4 linked regions of the Xenopus tropicalis genome follow. The protein of the gene in region 3 binds, or shares a complex with, the protein of the main gene of each other region. Links are inferred from orthologs where the notes say so. Each region holds a gene or a part of one and is shown on either strand. Other genes may lie near its edges.

What was found.
Region 1: mybbp1a (region 3) and smarca5 share a complex: the UniProt entries of both Homo sapiens proteins name them as parts of the B-WICH complex. The link is inferred for Xenopus tropicalis from reciprocal best matches to the Homo sapiens genes MYBBP1A and SMARCA5.
Region 2: mybbp1a (region 3) and dek share a complex: the UniProt entries of both Homo sapiens proteins name them as parts of the B-WICH complex. The link is inferred for Xenopus tropicalis from reciprocal best matches to the Homo sapiens genes MYBBP1A and DEK.
Region 4: mybbp1a (region 3) and sf3b1 share a complex: the UniProt entries of both Homo sapiens proteins name them as parts of the B-WICH complex. The link is inferred for Xenopus tropicalis from reciprocal best matches to the Homo sapiens genes MYBBP1A and SF3B1.

What each region holds. Positions count from the first base shown.
Region 1 is NC_030677.2:59,238,897-59,243,118, reverse strand, and holds the start of smarca5 (SWI/SNF-related matrix-associated actin-dependent regulator of chromatin subfamily A member 5), read left to right. Parts: upstream 1-1,415; 5' UTR 1,416-1,564; coding exon 1,565-1,714; intron 1,715-4,222. UniProt on the Homo sapiens protein: ATPase that possesses intrinsic ATP-dependent nucleosome-remodeling activity.
Region 2 is NC_030682.2:93,507,180-93,510,748, forward strand, and holds part of dek (protein DEK), read right to left. Parts: intron 3,495-3,569; coding exon 3,356-3,494; intron 1-3,355. UniProt on the Homo sapiens protein: Involved in chromatin organization.
Region 3 is NC_030678.2:101,003,485-101,007,053, forward strand, and holds part of mybbp1a (myb-binding protein 1A), read left to right. Parts: coding exon 1-99; intron 100-716; coding exon 717-874; intron 875-3,352; coding exon 3,353-3,487; intron 3,488-3,569. UniProt on the Homo sapiens protein: May activate or repress transcription via interactions with sequence specific DNA-binding proteins. Repression may be mediated at least in part by histone deacetylase activity (HDAC activity).
Region 4 is NC_030685.2:45,859,887-45,863,455, reverse strand, and holds part of sf3b1 (splicing factor 3B subunit 1), read left to right. Parts: intron 1-448; coding exon 449-631; intron 632-730; coding exon 731-842; intron 843-928; coding exon 929-1,049; intron 1,050-3,569. UniProt on the Homo sapiens protein: Component of the 17S U2 SnRNP complex of the spliceosome, a large ribonucleoprotein complex that removes introns from transcribed pre-mRNAs.

The sequences.
Region 1 (4,222 bases), on a different chromosome or scaffold from region 3:
CTTCTCTGTTAAAGTTCGGCTTTTCACTCTACTGCGCATGTGTACGCGAGCGAAGCCGGAAGGAGGAATCGCTGCTACCCCGGGCTGGTGCTGTTCTCTCCGTACAGGGGCACCAGCCCGGGGTAGAAGGTAAGAGATTAAAGTCACTGGGGGTGCCTAACATTTTGGCTCCTCCAAGTGACTTTGCCTTTCCCTCTCCTTTAAAGTTTGACCACAAGGGTGTTTGAGTATTTTGATTATATTACACTAGATCAGTGATCCCCACCAGTGGCTCGGGGGCAACATGTTGGATGTTGCTCTCAGTGACCCCAAACCAGGGAGTTATTGTTGAATTCCTGACTTGGGGGCAAGTTTTGGTTTAATAAAAACAAGATTTCCTACCAAATAAAGCCCCCTGTAAGCTGATAGGGTGCATAGAGGCCCCTAATAGCCAATCACGGCCCTTATTTGGCACCTCCATGAACTTTTATGGTGCTTGTGTTGCTCCCCAAGTCTTTTTACATGACTGTGGCTCCCGCGTAGGAAAGGTTGGGGATCCCTGGACTAAATGTTCATTTTTCTTATTCCCTTGTAGCTTTCAGCGCCAATCTGTGTTGTTTATTTGAGGATCCAGCTTTGAAAAGCTGTGAATCAGATCGGCAAACTAACCTTTTTAAAAAGTGAACTTATCCTTTGACTATTCCCAAACTTCATATAGCATACACAGGGCGGCACTGGAAAGCCTGATTAAGGGGCAGAATCAGCCCTGTATAGAGCCCCAATGTTTCTCATAACAGCCCCCTGGGCAATACCTTAGTTTCTTAGTATAGCCTATTCTATCTCATACTAATGGTATTCCTAAAATAACTTGAAATGACCCCTTATTTTGAAAGACTAGAAGTTCACGTTTACTAGGGTGTGAAAATGAAAAATATTTCATTTGTAGATGTTTGGTTTAAGGTACATTGTAGAAAACAATCCCCATTCTCAACCTACATGACAAACTCCTAAGAGGGCAGAGTACAAACCCGCTAAATGCGACATACACTGTACCCAACCATTGACAACAAACTATTCTCGCGAGATTTTAGGCAGAAACATCCCCGTAAACCCGGCAATTTAGAAGCCCGCCCCTTTTTTCCCGCCTCCCATTCAATCTGTAGACACGCCCATTATTCCACTCTTGCGCGGGTACAATAGTTTTTTTTATGCGCGCCGCCGCTGCCTCTGCCATATGGGCCACTCGCATCACCCTAGCGTAGGCTTGCGGGGCCAAATCTCGCGGGATCTGGTCTCGGCTCCCTAGTAAAGCTTAGATCTCGCGAGATCTCAAACGGATTGGTGCGTTTTTTTCCCCTCTCCCTGGTGACGCGCGCTGTCGATCAAAGAGGGAAAAAGCCGGCACATTGCGAGTGCGCTCTCCTACGCGCCCCCTACGCTCTCTTCCTAGTGGCTCCCGCCAGCAGCGTGTGGGATTACACACGCATCCATTCAAGGATCGCGCTTTACTCCGGGTTTCTCATTAAACCCCCTGCCTCGTTGTGTGAGCCCCGCGTTGGACGGACGGTGTTAGTAGATCCTGATCATGTCCGCGGAAGGCACCGAGCAGCAGCCGGCTCCGGACACCGTAGCGAAAGAGGAAAAAGGAGAAGCAAAGGAGGCTATGGAAGTAGATACGGGCGATCAGGCGAAACAAGAGCCGGGCGGAGACGCAGTTAAAGAGGAAGCGATGGAGGTAAGAGGAGCCGGCCCAGGCAGCACGCACTTTATGGCTCCTACCAAGGAACTCAAACTTCTTCTTTATCTTGAACGTCATTATTTTAACCATCTCCTGGCCGCTGAGAGTTGTAGTTTTTCAGCAGCTAGATATGTCTTATCTGCTCATTCACTTGCGTATGTGAGAACCTGTAGAGTTAAAGCGGACCTCTCTGTCCCATTGAAATGTCCAGCCGTGAGTGCGCATGTGCGCGGTAGCCGGGCTTCTGCCTCACGGTACCTCTCATTTCCTATATATATATATATATATATATATTATAAGTATTGGCTAGGTGTGGTGCTTCGCACTCTCTTAGCATTGGGCTTCTCATTGTTCCAAAAGTCATTCTAAAGCCCCAGCGGCTCCTCCCAGTACGGGGCGTGGCTACTGTTAGTGCTGGTCGCTCTCCAGGCCTCCAACTCTTTGTTAGCTGACATGCTATACTACATTTCCATCATCCTGCTGCCAGCCTTTCTATCGGCTCACGGAACATGTACAAGGAGTAGTGCCGATATCTGTGGCCTCTTACGTAATTTTTCTAATGGAGATTCTTATGTGTTCCTAGTTCACTTACTGCTGATCATTTATCAGCAATCTGCATCTGGACAGTAACCCATAGCAACCAATCAGAGATGAGCTTTTTTTCATCCTTCTTCAGTTAGAACAATAATAGCAAACTTTGATCGATTGTCATGGGTTAATGCAAGGGTGCAAGTTTTAACCAACTTTATCAAATAAACTCTACTCACTTTTCTCATTTAAGTTATTAACTGTATGCAAGATCTTTTCTGCCCTTGATCTAAATTAGTTATCTTTGTGTTCCTGTTTTTCAGCCTTTTGGCTTTATTTTTATTCGCCTGACTTATTATAAATAGTTGATGGAATACTGTATTTCTAAGCAATCAGTTCTCCCTGTTCAATGAACAGCTGTTTGTAGTCAGTCCCTGTTTATTGGGCCTGTGGGGACTGTTTGGCTTTCTTTGCACCTGATAAACCAGGGTTTATTTCATTTCCCAGTCCAGTCATTTAATAGTTCTTGCCAGTGTTCTCCCCAGAAAAAAAATAAATGTGATATAGCTGAGGTTAAGGGGGCTTAACCCATTTATTATCCAAATGGGTAAAAGTCCAGCCCATCTGTTCCACTTCCTCCGTTCCCAGGCCATGCAGCACTTTGCACTGTAGGATTGAAGCCAATCAGCAATTAGGCTGACCTGATAGGGAACTGAAGCCTATCTGTGCAGAGGTGTGTGTGCTATCCTACTGTGCTTCTGGCAGGGAAAGTTAGAACATGCCCACACTGCATTTGAAACACAGGCAGGGACCCGAGAGAATCTATAGGAAGCTCTGATAAAGGGTTCATTTTTACAGATAGTGGTATTAAAGACCAAAGTGAAACCAGCACCATATAGTATTCATAATTGCCTACAAGATTAGAGATTTTTTCATTTATCCTATGTCTCCTTTAACGTCTATTAGCCCCTTTATTAGGGGGCAAATCTAAATACATAAGTACCAGAATATATACATAATAGACATTTAAGGACTTATGAATAGACGTTTAAAATTTATGCACTATAACCAGTCCGTAATCCCATGATTTTCAACAGTGGAAAGTCACAAATTCAGTTACATTACCAGTTTTTACATATCTCTTAAATTTAGACTAAAGGCCCCCTTACACGGGCCGATAGAAGCTGCCGATATCGGTCCCTTGGACCGGCTCGGCAGCTTATCTGCCCGTGTAGGGGCAGAAACGAGCGGGCTGGCCGACCGATATCTGGCCTGAAATTGGCCAGATATCGATCGGCCAGGTTAAAAGATTCAGTCGGATCGGAGGCCGCATCAGCTCGTTGATGCGGTCCCCGAACCGACTGCCCCATTGCTGCCTACATAATCCGGTCGTTTGGCCCCAGGGCCAAACAATCGGATTATTTTTTTTTTTAACTTCAAGCTAGCTCAAGTGTATCGCTAGTAGGGAAGAAATTGCCAGCCAGGTAAAAATAGGCCTTGGTGGGGATAAAAATTAAATGTTCCTGCCCCTAAAAGAAAAACTTTAACAGAAGCTAAGAGGACTGTGTGCTTCTTCAAATGCATCGCACTGTCCTTCCAACTTCTGTAACAGAAATTTCATCTACATAAGAGGTGGGGAAAACTTTGGCTGTTTGCCTTGTGTAAGGAAATAAAAAGGGCAGATTTGTTATTTGTTCCCTGAAATCGCGGAAGTTTCCTCTCAAGACAACTTCCGCTATTTCAGGGAAATCGCGGCGCCACGTATGCCATCCCACCGGTAATTTGCATTTTCGCCAGTGGGATGGCATTTCGGGGAGATTAGTTGCCCGTGAACAGGGAGATTTGTTGCGGGCGACTAATCTCCCCGTGTGCCAGAGCCCTTAAGATGACCACACACGTGGCGATTTTTGATCTTTCTGTTGCACGAAAGATCGTTCCAACCCACCCTGACATTCAGGGCTGAATCATCAGATATGG
Region 2 (3,569 bases), on a different chromosome or scaffold from region 3:
CCAGTCTGAGACCTTTTTGGAGGCCATCTTGTAGAAACTGTAGAAGCCATGCTAGCCAGAATTCTGGAAACAGTACCTCTTCCTTCTTGCACCGTGTTCTGTAACATTCCCATGTTCTATGATACATCTTGGACGTATTGGTTTGCGTGCCTTATAATCATGGTCAATATTTACTGTGACCGGTTCCCTGGCAATCTTTCGCAACACCCGAGGTAGCATGGGAAGGGGAGGAAACACGTAAGCTAGTCTGAAGTGCCAAGGGACTGCCATGGCATCTACGCCCTCCGCTAGTGAATCTCTGTCTTGGGAAGAATCTGGGTACCTTCCGGTTGTGCCTGGATGACATTAAAATCGATTTATGGTTCTCCCCACTTCCTAGTCAGCAGTTGAAAAACATTCTTCAGTAGACTCCATTCTCCTGGGTGCAACCGATGTCTCCTGAGGTAATCGGCTTCTACGTTGTCTACTCTGGGAATGTGTATTGCCGAGATCAGGGTGTCTGTTCTTTCTGCCCACTCCAGTATGCGAGTCACTTATAGGTTTACTCTCCTACTTCTTGAGTCTCCTTGTCGGCTGACATAAGCCACCGCCGTTGCATTGTCCGACTGTATTCTCACAGCTTGGCCTTTCAGAATGTTTTCCCATGCCTGAAATGCCCGCAGGATGGCCCTGATCTCTAGAATGTTTATCGCTAATGGCGACTCTGTCTGTGACCAAAGTCCCTGGACTGAGTGTCTCTGGAATGTTAGTCGTGACCAGGTTTCTGCGAAGAATCGAAGTCGACCTCCTATGGAACCTGTGTCCAGGGCCACCAGACTGTAGACAGGAGGAGGTCACCTTGTCTCCTGTCTGTTTTGGCAAGTGTCTTTGGGGTTGCCATGTGGATTTCCCCTTGTTGGAGAACCAATTCTTGGAGGTAGTCTGGGAGTTCGATTGTGAACTGGATCTGAAGTTACGAAACCCTTGGTTCCAAAAGGACTGTCCCTTCCAGACTTGGGTTTATTCTGGGGCAAGAGAGTACTTTTGCCCCCAGTAGCCTGAGAAATTATCTTGTCCAGTTCATCGCCAAATAACTACTATCCCTGAAAGGGAATGGATATCAGGGATTTTTTTAGAGCCAATGTCAGCCGACCAAAGCTTCAACAAAGGTGCTCTTCATGTGGCAACTGAGAACGCAGATGCCCTCGCAATGACCCTAGCCACGTCAAGTGAGGCATCTGCTAGGAACTGGTAGGCTTCTTGGATGTAAGAAGCCAGTTGGATGATTGTGTCTTTGGGACCGTCCTTGGGACTGACCATGTTTCGACAGCCTGACTGACCCAGGCAGAGGCTAGGATGGGCCACAGTGCTGACCCGGTGGAGAGGAAGAAGACCCTCCATCCTCTTGTCAGTTGGGTCCTTGAACACTGAGGCGTCTGGGACTGGGGGAGCGGTGAGGAGCACTCCACTGAGTCCTTGGGAAAAGGATACTGTTTGGAAAAGAAATTTAGTAACCTGAAATTTCTTATCAGGAGATTTCCACTCCTCAAGAATCAAATTCTGTAATTGTTTGTGAGCTCAAAAGGCTACTGATGTCTTGCATTGCCTTTTAAACAGCCTTTTTTTGAGTAGACTCCTCCTCCTGAATGTTTAGGGTTTCTAGAACTGCCCTAATTAGGCTTTCCACACCAGGTGTTGTGTCAGCCGTGGTGTCCTCCTCGCTGGAGTCAGAGGCCGCTGGGGAGGAGACTATCTGCCCATCGCTGATCTCTTCATCAGAAGAGGGAAGCGTGAAAGAACCCTTAAGGGATGTTTCTGCTAGACAAGGCTGCTTGCATTCAGGTGTAACATCAGAGGCGTACGCCATTTTGGTAAGCATCTTATCAACAGAAGATGCCAATTGTGGTATGCATTGCAGGCTTGATAGGGACTGAGACAATGTGAGTGCCCAGCCTGGTACCTCGGAAGGCCCTTCAGGGTCTGAGATGCCCATGGTAGAGGAGCCCTATATGGTTCCATTAGAACCTGTCCCTAATAGCGAAGGGGTTAGAGTATCAGAGGTGTGTGCTTGGGTAGGGCTGCAAGTGGAGCAGAGCGGATCAGCTTGGCCCTCCCTGAACTTTGTAAGGCACTTGGTGCATGCAAAAAAGGTTGCAAGCAGGTTAGGGTGCTTACCCCCCCTTGAGAACAGTGCCTTCCGCTCTACTAAGAGAATGCTTGGCGATGTCGCTGTTACTGTTATTGAATGTCCCTGAATGGGAAGTAGATGCAGAGAGTCCGCAGCCCTGGGTCAGTTAATCACGTCTGCCGTACCCTGAATGGCGCGAACAGTGCTGTGAGGTGCATTGTTGGCTCTCCCTTGTGCACAAATGTGTTGCTTCCGGTCGCAAGTAGCGATGACAGCACTTATGACTGGCAGCGCGCCAAATAAAGCCGTGCGGCAGGGGAAGCGGTGTGATAGCACGCTGGTAGCATGGCAGGGGAACACGAGCAGAGAAATAGTATCTCCGGTGCCTGCCCCGCATACTTACTCTGATTAGAGTGCTGAAGCAGGGCATTGAGCATTTTGTCCCGCAGGGGAATCGGGTTTCCTGTGGATCCCACGTCGGGGGCTTGCCTGTAATGAACAGAACAGGTCTGACAAGGCCTCACCCCGGGTGCCAGTACTATCTACTGACCGAAGAAATCTTGCTGGGCCTCCTAGAGGCCAGTCCAACCTGCTGTATGAAGGACACTGAAAAAACTGGTGCCCTTCAGGGGCGGTAGGGGATAAAGGGAGAGTAGGTGGGTCCTCAGATCTGATGTCATCAGAGTCCTGCCTCCTGATGGGAGGGGCCCTTTACCCCCATGGTCCGTGTCCCCCTAGACGTGAGAAAAAATATCTATGTCCAACAATGGTTCAGTTAAAGGCAAAATCCCAATCCAACCAAAGAATATATGGCAATATTTAAAAATTGAGCTGCTCACTAATCATTTGACAACATGGAGAAAACCTGTCTGGAATAATGGGTCGATATCATCCCTCAATATTGTGCAAGTCTGATATGCACTTACTCCAAAAGCACAACTGTAATTGCTGTAAATGCAGCCAACGTTGGGTGGGGTGACACTATACATTTGTTAGTAGGGATTTACAATATACTTGTATTAAAGAGCTATCTTGTATTATAGAGCTATCTACACAGAGGCTGTTTATATGATATGTGTTTAGATATACTTTCAGGAGTATTGTTCTCAGATGGAGAATATATTTTTTAACAGAAGATGGCTACAATATTATATTTTTTTTTCAACTAATTTTGATAAAATACACAATGTTTAGAATAGAATAACTGCAGTTTTTAAGAAAAAAAAAATCTGTTAAAGCACAGCTTACCTTTTTTGGCATTTCCTTGACTTTTCTTGTTAGCAGTACTACTGTCAGCTTTTTTGACATTTGCTGATTTTGCAGCTTTTTTGCCTTTGGGTGTTGATTTAGGCTTTGATTTTGCCTTTTTTGCAATTTTCTTCGGTGGCTGTGAAATTGTAAAAATGGAACAAAAGTTAGCAATATTCCACAGGAGCAGGCCTTTTATGTAACAAGACACTTC
Region 3 (3,569 bases):
GCCTTGTTTGCTGAACAAAAAAAACGTATTCAAGCCAAGAAGGACGAGAAAGCCAGAATCCGTGGGGAGAAGATTTTGCGCAAGGAGTTCAAGACAAAGGTTGTTAATATTATTTTAAATGCTTTTTTCCCCACTAAATGAAAATATCATTTAATGCAGAGTTGGGTATGTCAGTTTTTTAATCAGAATCCAAAACCCATGCATGCATGAGAACATTCAGATTTCTTGCTTATAGTTCTCTGACTGGAATGAAACCTCAAATCATTTACATACCTTTCTTAGGGCAAAATTGAAAGTAGTCTCATGAGTTTAATTCTTGAAGGACCAAAGTCCTGTCTTTTTTCATGCTTATGTTATATCATTCTCTTGCGCCATTATAGTGATGTCAGCAGTTTTCACCAGCTTTCTTCATATGTAGCTTGCACGAACTGAGCCCTCTTGTACTGAACTGTAAAGGGCACCCATTCCTTTATTTAATTGGTTAGGATTTATTAGAATTTTCTTTTCCAGATCCCTTAGTTTGTTCCTATGTATAAGATACTGAAACCGCACATACACATTTTTTTAATCTGTCCTAGATGTGCACAATCATTCACTTTTAAAGGATATGACTGCTAATGGTGCTCGTTTTTTAGTATCTCATTATTGCATTTGTTGAGTGCAAAAAGAAAAAAAAGTCATTAACTGATAACTGACAACTCATTCTGTGTCCACAGGTGCTGGATCTGATAGAGGTGTTTGTGAAAAAGCAGCCTGACAGTCCTCTTGTATTTAACATCATTGAACCATTAATTTCTGTAATTGAACAAAGCATGAATTCTGAATCTAACCAACAGGAACAAGACTTTCTCAGAAAAACAGCAGACATTTTCATGTAAGTACCCAAGCACATGATGCACATATCCAGATTAGTTTGGGATTCAGTGAGGTAGATATAGTAACATAGTAAGTTAGGTTGTAGTTGATCCAGAGAGAGGCAAAAAACCCCATCTGAAGCCTTTCTAATTTGTCGCAGAGGGGAAAAAATCCTTCCTGACTCCAAGATGGCAATCCAGTCCCTGGATCAACTTGTACTAAGAGCTATCTCCCATAACCCTGTATTCCCTCACTTGCTAAGAATCCATCCAGCCCCTTCTTAAAGCTATATAATGTTTCAGCCAGTACAACTGATTCGGGGAGGGAATTCCACAACTTCACAGCTCTCCAGTAAAGAATCCTTTCCGAATATTTAAACGGAACCTCCCTTCTTCTAAACGGAGTAGGTGCCCTTGTGTCCGTTGGAAGGACCTAATGGTAAATAAAGCATTATAGATGTTATTATATGGCCCCCTTATATATTTATACATAGTTATCATGTCACCTCTTAAAGGAGAATGCAAGTCAAAATTTAAAAAGCATACTGCCCAATAGTCCTCCTATTATTTAGTAAAAACGCCACACTTTTGGCTCACCTAATCAAATATTTACTCAGTCACACTTACTTCACATTTTCTAGAACAGGCAGCCATCTCCAAAAAGGTATTCTCCCTTCCTTTCCCTTCTTGCTTCATACTGCACATGTGTTTCATTCCCTCCCCTCTGCCAGATCCGCTTCCAGCCTACAGGAAGGACAGAGAGATTTCAGTGATGTCACTGTAGTCTTCACACTGCTGTAGGCTGCCAGCACCATATCTCAGAGAAGCAAGCAGAGATCTGGGAATTTAGATATGCAGTTAGTACTTAAAAAGAATGCCTTTAGACTTACTTTTAATTTATATTAACCTTTCATTGTCCTTTAAGCGCCTCTTCTCCAGTGTAAACAGACCCAACTTGGCCCAGTCTTTCTTCATAACCGAGACTTTGCCCTTCTCTGGACCCTCTCTAATTCAATAATGTCCCGTTTGTGCACTGGAGACCAAAACTGAACAGCATATTCTAGATGGGGCCTTACCAGCGCTCTGTAAAGGGGAAGAATAGCCCCCTCCTCCCGTGAATCTATACCCCTTTTAATACAGCTCAAAACCCTGTTTGCCCTTGCAGCTGCTGCCTGGCATTGCTTGCTACAGCCAAGTTTATTATCTACAAGGACTCCAAGGTCCTTCTCCATTATGGATTTGCCTAGTGCAGTCCCATTAAGGGTGGCTTGCATATTTTTACATCCCAGTTGCATGACCTTTATATTTATCCACATTAAATCTCATCTGCCACTCTGCTGCCCAGATTGCCAGTTGGTCAAGATCCTGCTGCAAGGATGCCACATCCTTGCTGTAGGATTTAAAATTTTAAGTTGTGTAACTTTTTCTTACCAAGAAAAAACAAACAAATGAAAAAAATCTTGAATGTTCACTTATTTATTAAAAGATCCAAATATAAAAAGCATGATCAAATAAAATTTACAGTGAAAATGAAGAAGAATATGAAAACTTTGAAATCCTCATTTTTATAAGAATTTAGAGCACTAACAAATAACTCGAATTAAATAATGATTGTTACAATTTTCCTAGGACAGCTACCATTGAAATCTACATGAGCACGACAAGCTTTTAGATGGCGTAGTTTTATATTAGTGTTTTTCATAGTTTTTACACTTGGTAAATTATGAAAAATTTGTTTTGTCAAGTAATTAGTAAAATATGTGATTTTTAGAGCTTGATAGTATGATTTGTGAAAGAGCAAAAAACAAAGGTTCATAAATCGGCCCCTACCTGTTTATTTATTTTCCCAGAGCTGAAACTTTATTTTACGAAAGGAGTTCTGTAATATAAAATATATAAATTTTTTTATTGCATGTTACCTGTCTGTTATAACTGTTGCAGAGATAAAATCTCACAGGGTAGGAGCATGTTACTTGGGTGCAAAACACTTGTTTTATCTGTTTTTCCAATAGAATTGTCCACGGGTATTAAAATTAAGTAGTTGATACATTTAGCCTTGACCCATTATTGGCCTGAGACATATGTCACCTGATATGGGTGAAGTAATATCTTTTAGGGCTCTGGCACACGTTGTCAGCAAGAAGGATCTGACATGCTCAGAGTAATGCTTAAACAGACAGAAGAAGGGGCCACAAAAACATAATTTAATGGGAACACATTGACTTGTGAAATGCAATTTATTTTGTAAAGGGCAGTAGCTACTCTGAATTGAATTACACTCAGGAGTTGCAGTCAGAGATATGTGTATGATGAGGTCCTGAGGAGGCTGAAACATTACACGTTACTCACATATAGTGAGATAGTAAAACCATTTTTATGACGGGACAGTATCCTGGATTCAAAACTATAAGCGTATAAGTGGCAAGCGTATTAACTAGGTCCTATTCAATAGTGCTGAATTAGAATATAAGGCTTTCTGTTCTTTCTCTACCTTATAGGAATGATTTATGTAAAGCCAAGCGTTATTGTAAAGATGTTGGAGAGCTTAAGGAAGAACTGCACGGCATGATGGAAAGGCTTGTGGCAAAAGCCTGCAAACAAAGTGACTCTTCTGTGGCATTATACTGTTTCAGGTAAGCCAGTCCCTTTAATTTTGGAGTAAAACTCTGCTTTTCGCTTAAACACAGTTATACCAGTGCTCTTCTAGGCCCAGAG
Region 4 (3,569 bases), on a different chromosome or scaffold from region 3:
AGTTTTATATTATTACTGATACCTTTAGGGCTCTGGCACACGGGGGAGATTAGTCGCCCGCGATTAACTCCCTGTTCGCGGGCGACTTATCTCCCCGAGTTGCCTACCCCTGCCATCCCACCGGCGAACATGTAAGTCGCCGGCGGGATGGCAGACGCGGCGCGATTTCGCGCAAATTGCTGAAAAAGACTCGCGAGTCTTTTTCGGCGATTTCCGGAAATCGCCCCGCCACGTCTGCCATCCCGCCGGCGACTTACATGTTAAATACAGTTCTTAAAAAGTTCTTAGATAAAATCCCTATTACTGGTATGAATTTTTGGTTTGGGAATGTGACGTATTCATAGATTTGAGTTTTGGAGGGAGAGATGAGTAATTATAGTAATTATAGAATACGTGCAGGATTTGGGTGCTGTGATTTAAATTTTCTTTTTTTGATCTTGTTTCCTAGGATTCTGTAATGTTAAATGGATTTGGCACTGTTGTAAATGCTCTTGGTAAAAGAGTAAAGCCTTACCTGCCTCAAATTTGTGGAACAGTCTTGTGGAGGTTGAACAATAAATCTGCTAAAGTAAGACAGCAGGCTGCTGACTTGATATCCCGCACTGCAGTTGTCATGAAGACTTGTCAAGAGGTGTGTTTGTTGGGGGGGGGGGGGGTTGTGTGTTGTTTTTTTTTTTGGAGGTGGGGATTGTTTAATTTACTAAACAACCTATCTTATGTTTCATTATAGGAAAAATTGATGGGACATTTGGGTGTTGTTTTATATGAATATCTTGGAGAAGAGTACCCTGAAGTACTGGGAAGTATTTTAGGAGCTCTTAAAGCAATCGTAAATGTTATAGGTAAGTATGAATCAGTGAATTTTCTCATTTTTGTGCCTATTTTAATAAATGAAAATTCTGCTCACTCTTTAACTTTGGCACACTAGGAATGCACAAGATGACACCTCCAATTAAGGATCTTCTACCACGGTTAACACCTATCCTGAAAAATAGACACGAGAAAGTACAGGAGAACTGCATTGATCTTGTTGGGCGTATTGCTGACAGGTAAAGTGCTTAAATGCTATTTTAATTTTCGATCTCCAATATGTCCTTTTATTACAAGATAAAACATCCTGAATATTAATGTCAAGGGTCTTTTGACCAAAATATGTGTATCTAAAATCATAATAGTGCATATTACATATTAAATCATGAAAAGGAAAAAAAGTGGGGCATTCATATTAGGTATACTAGTTCAGATGTAGCAAAGTCTCATATAAGAAAGTTCTAGATCTACATAGAGGCAGTATTTGATTAAGCCTCTTAGGTGCTACTGTATCCAGTGGGAAAATGTTAGAGAATGTTAAGTATAACAGTGATTTCATTGCTTTCAAAGAAATTGACTGTGTGTATGGGTGGCTACTGGGACCAATGGATGATACATTGCATGAAAAGAAATACACTAAGCCCACACACAAGCCACATAATCTGATGTAGAAACACCAACTGCTACTGGTACTCCTTTAAACTAACTCACAAGACACACACATAGAAAATGAAGACCACCGTGAACGGAGGTCACCATTTTTGCAAGTTTCAGTGTGTGTGTACACACATTAAATTACTTAAGTTGTTCTGTGCTTATAATTCCATTATTTGGAAATACTACTTCAACTATTGTGTGCTGTCCAACTTTTGTGGTACCGAGGGCCAGAATTTTTGTGGCCTGTGTGGTGGATGGCTAATAATGGAAGCCATTTTTGACCACTCCTCCCCCTTTTTAAACTGTACCCACTCCAAACCACACCAATGTTATCACAAGAGCTTTTAAGATCATACTGACATTGATGATGGTAGCACAGCAAAAACCCAAATAGTTGGTGCTCACTGTAGGGATATTACCCTTCATTCATATGTGAAAGAATTATATTATGTCATATTAAGACATACCCTTAAATCCATATGCCTCATCCTCCCTTGTGGATAGCACAGCAACCCCCACCATATAATTAGACACCTTAGGGACCATATAATAACTATTTCCAAATGCTACAAACTCCTAGAACAAAACCCTGCCTGGTTCACCTCCCACAGGCAACGTAGGGCAGGCAGTGTATGGTGCACACAGGCAGCATTGGGCAGGCAGAGTATGACATACACAAGCAGTATAGGGCAGGCAAAGTATGGCAGTATTCTGCATGCTCTATGCTGCCAGTGTGTGCCATACTATCCCAGCCCTATGCTGCCCTGTGTGCGCCATACTCTGCCTGCCCTATGCTGCCTGTGTGTGCAGTACATATAGTGACACAATGCTGACACTGCTCCTACAGTGTGTCTGAGGTGTGAACAATGTGGGGTCTTACAGTCTGAGCCTGAGGTGTGAACAGTACATTCACTAAAAGGTATGAAAAGTACCGGGGATTACAGCCTGAATCTGAGGATAATAATGCCAGTTAATCTCAGTACTGATACAAGTATGGAACCCATTAACCAGAATGCTCAGGACCTGGGGTTTTCTGGATAAGTGATCTTTCCATAATTTGGATCACCTTACATTGTCTACTAAAAGATTTTTCAAACATTAAAAAAAAAAATCAACAGAATTGTTTTGCTTCCAATAAGGAGTAATTATATCTTAGTTGGGATCAAGTACAAGGTACTGTTTTAATACAGAGAAAAAGGAAATCATTTTTAAAAATTAGAATTATTTGCTTATAATGGAGTCTATGGGCCAGTTACGGGCCATCCCGTAATTTGGAACTTTCTGGATAATGGGTTTCCGGATAACGGATCCCATACCTGTACCATTTAAAGCTTACACAAAGGTAAGCAGTCACAGCAGGCAGACAGGTGGGGGGGGGACACAGAGGGGCCAGTTGGACAGCAGAGCTTTAAACAATGTAGGACTCCAAGCCTGTAACCAGTTTAAACATCATTCCAACCTATTCTGATGGAATTGATAACAATGTATAGAATAGAAAATAACTAGCTTTGTACAAATGTAATTCGTTAAATGTATTTTTTTTTTTGTAAGACAACTAACTGGCCTACACAGCTTAAAAATAATAATGATGTTCTTTCTAGAATCATCACATAAGAATAAGTGGCAAGGCTTTGATTTGGTTCAGCTAAGAGGTTTAATTGAGTTATGAGAAATTGTTCACACTTTGACTAAATATAATAGAATCTCCCTCAGGCAGAAATTAAAACAGGATCACAAAAAATGTAGGCAGCTCAAGTGGTTGTAATCACTTACCTGATACCCCAAGCCGGTGCTTCTGTTAGCAGAAAACAGCTCCAGCCAGGGGTACATGTGAGTGCTTCTTTCTTTACACTGTGGGCACATGTTAAGTGTGAAAAACCAAACATCGGCAAAAAAGCTGGCTTTTTCACTTTACCGCATATGCTTTGGCTCCAGGATTTTGGCAGTGCAGGTTTCTGCTAACAGGAGCACCAGCCCGGGGTATAAGTTAAGTGATTACAATCTGAAAGGAAAAAGAAACGGTCTCCACGCTCCAGGGTTAAAAACAAAGATCTTTATTGAAACAAAATACAAACAAGCAGTATCTGACACTTGATGCATTT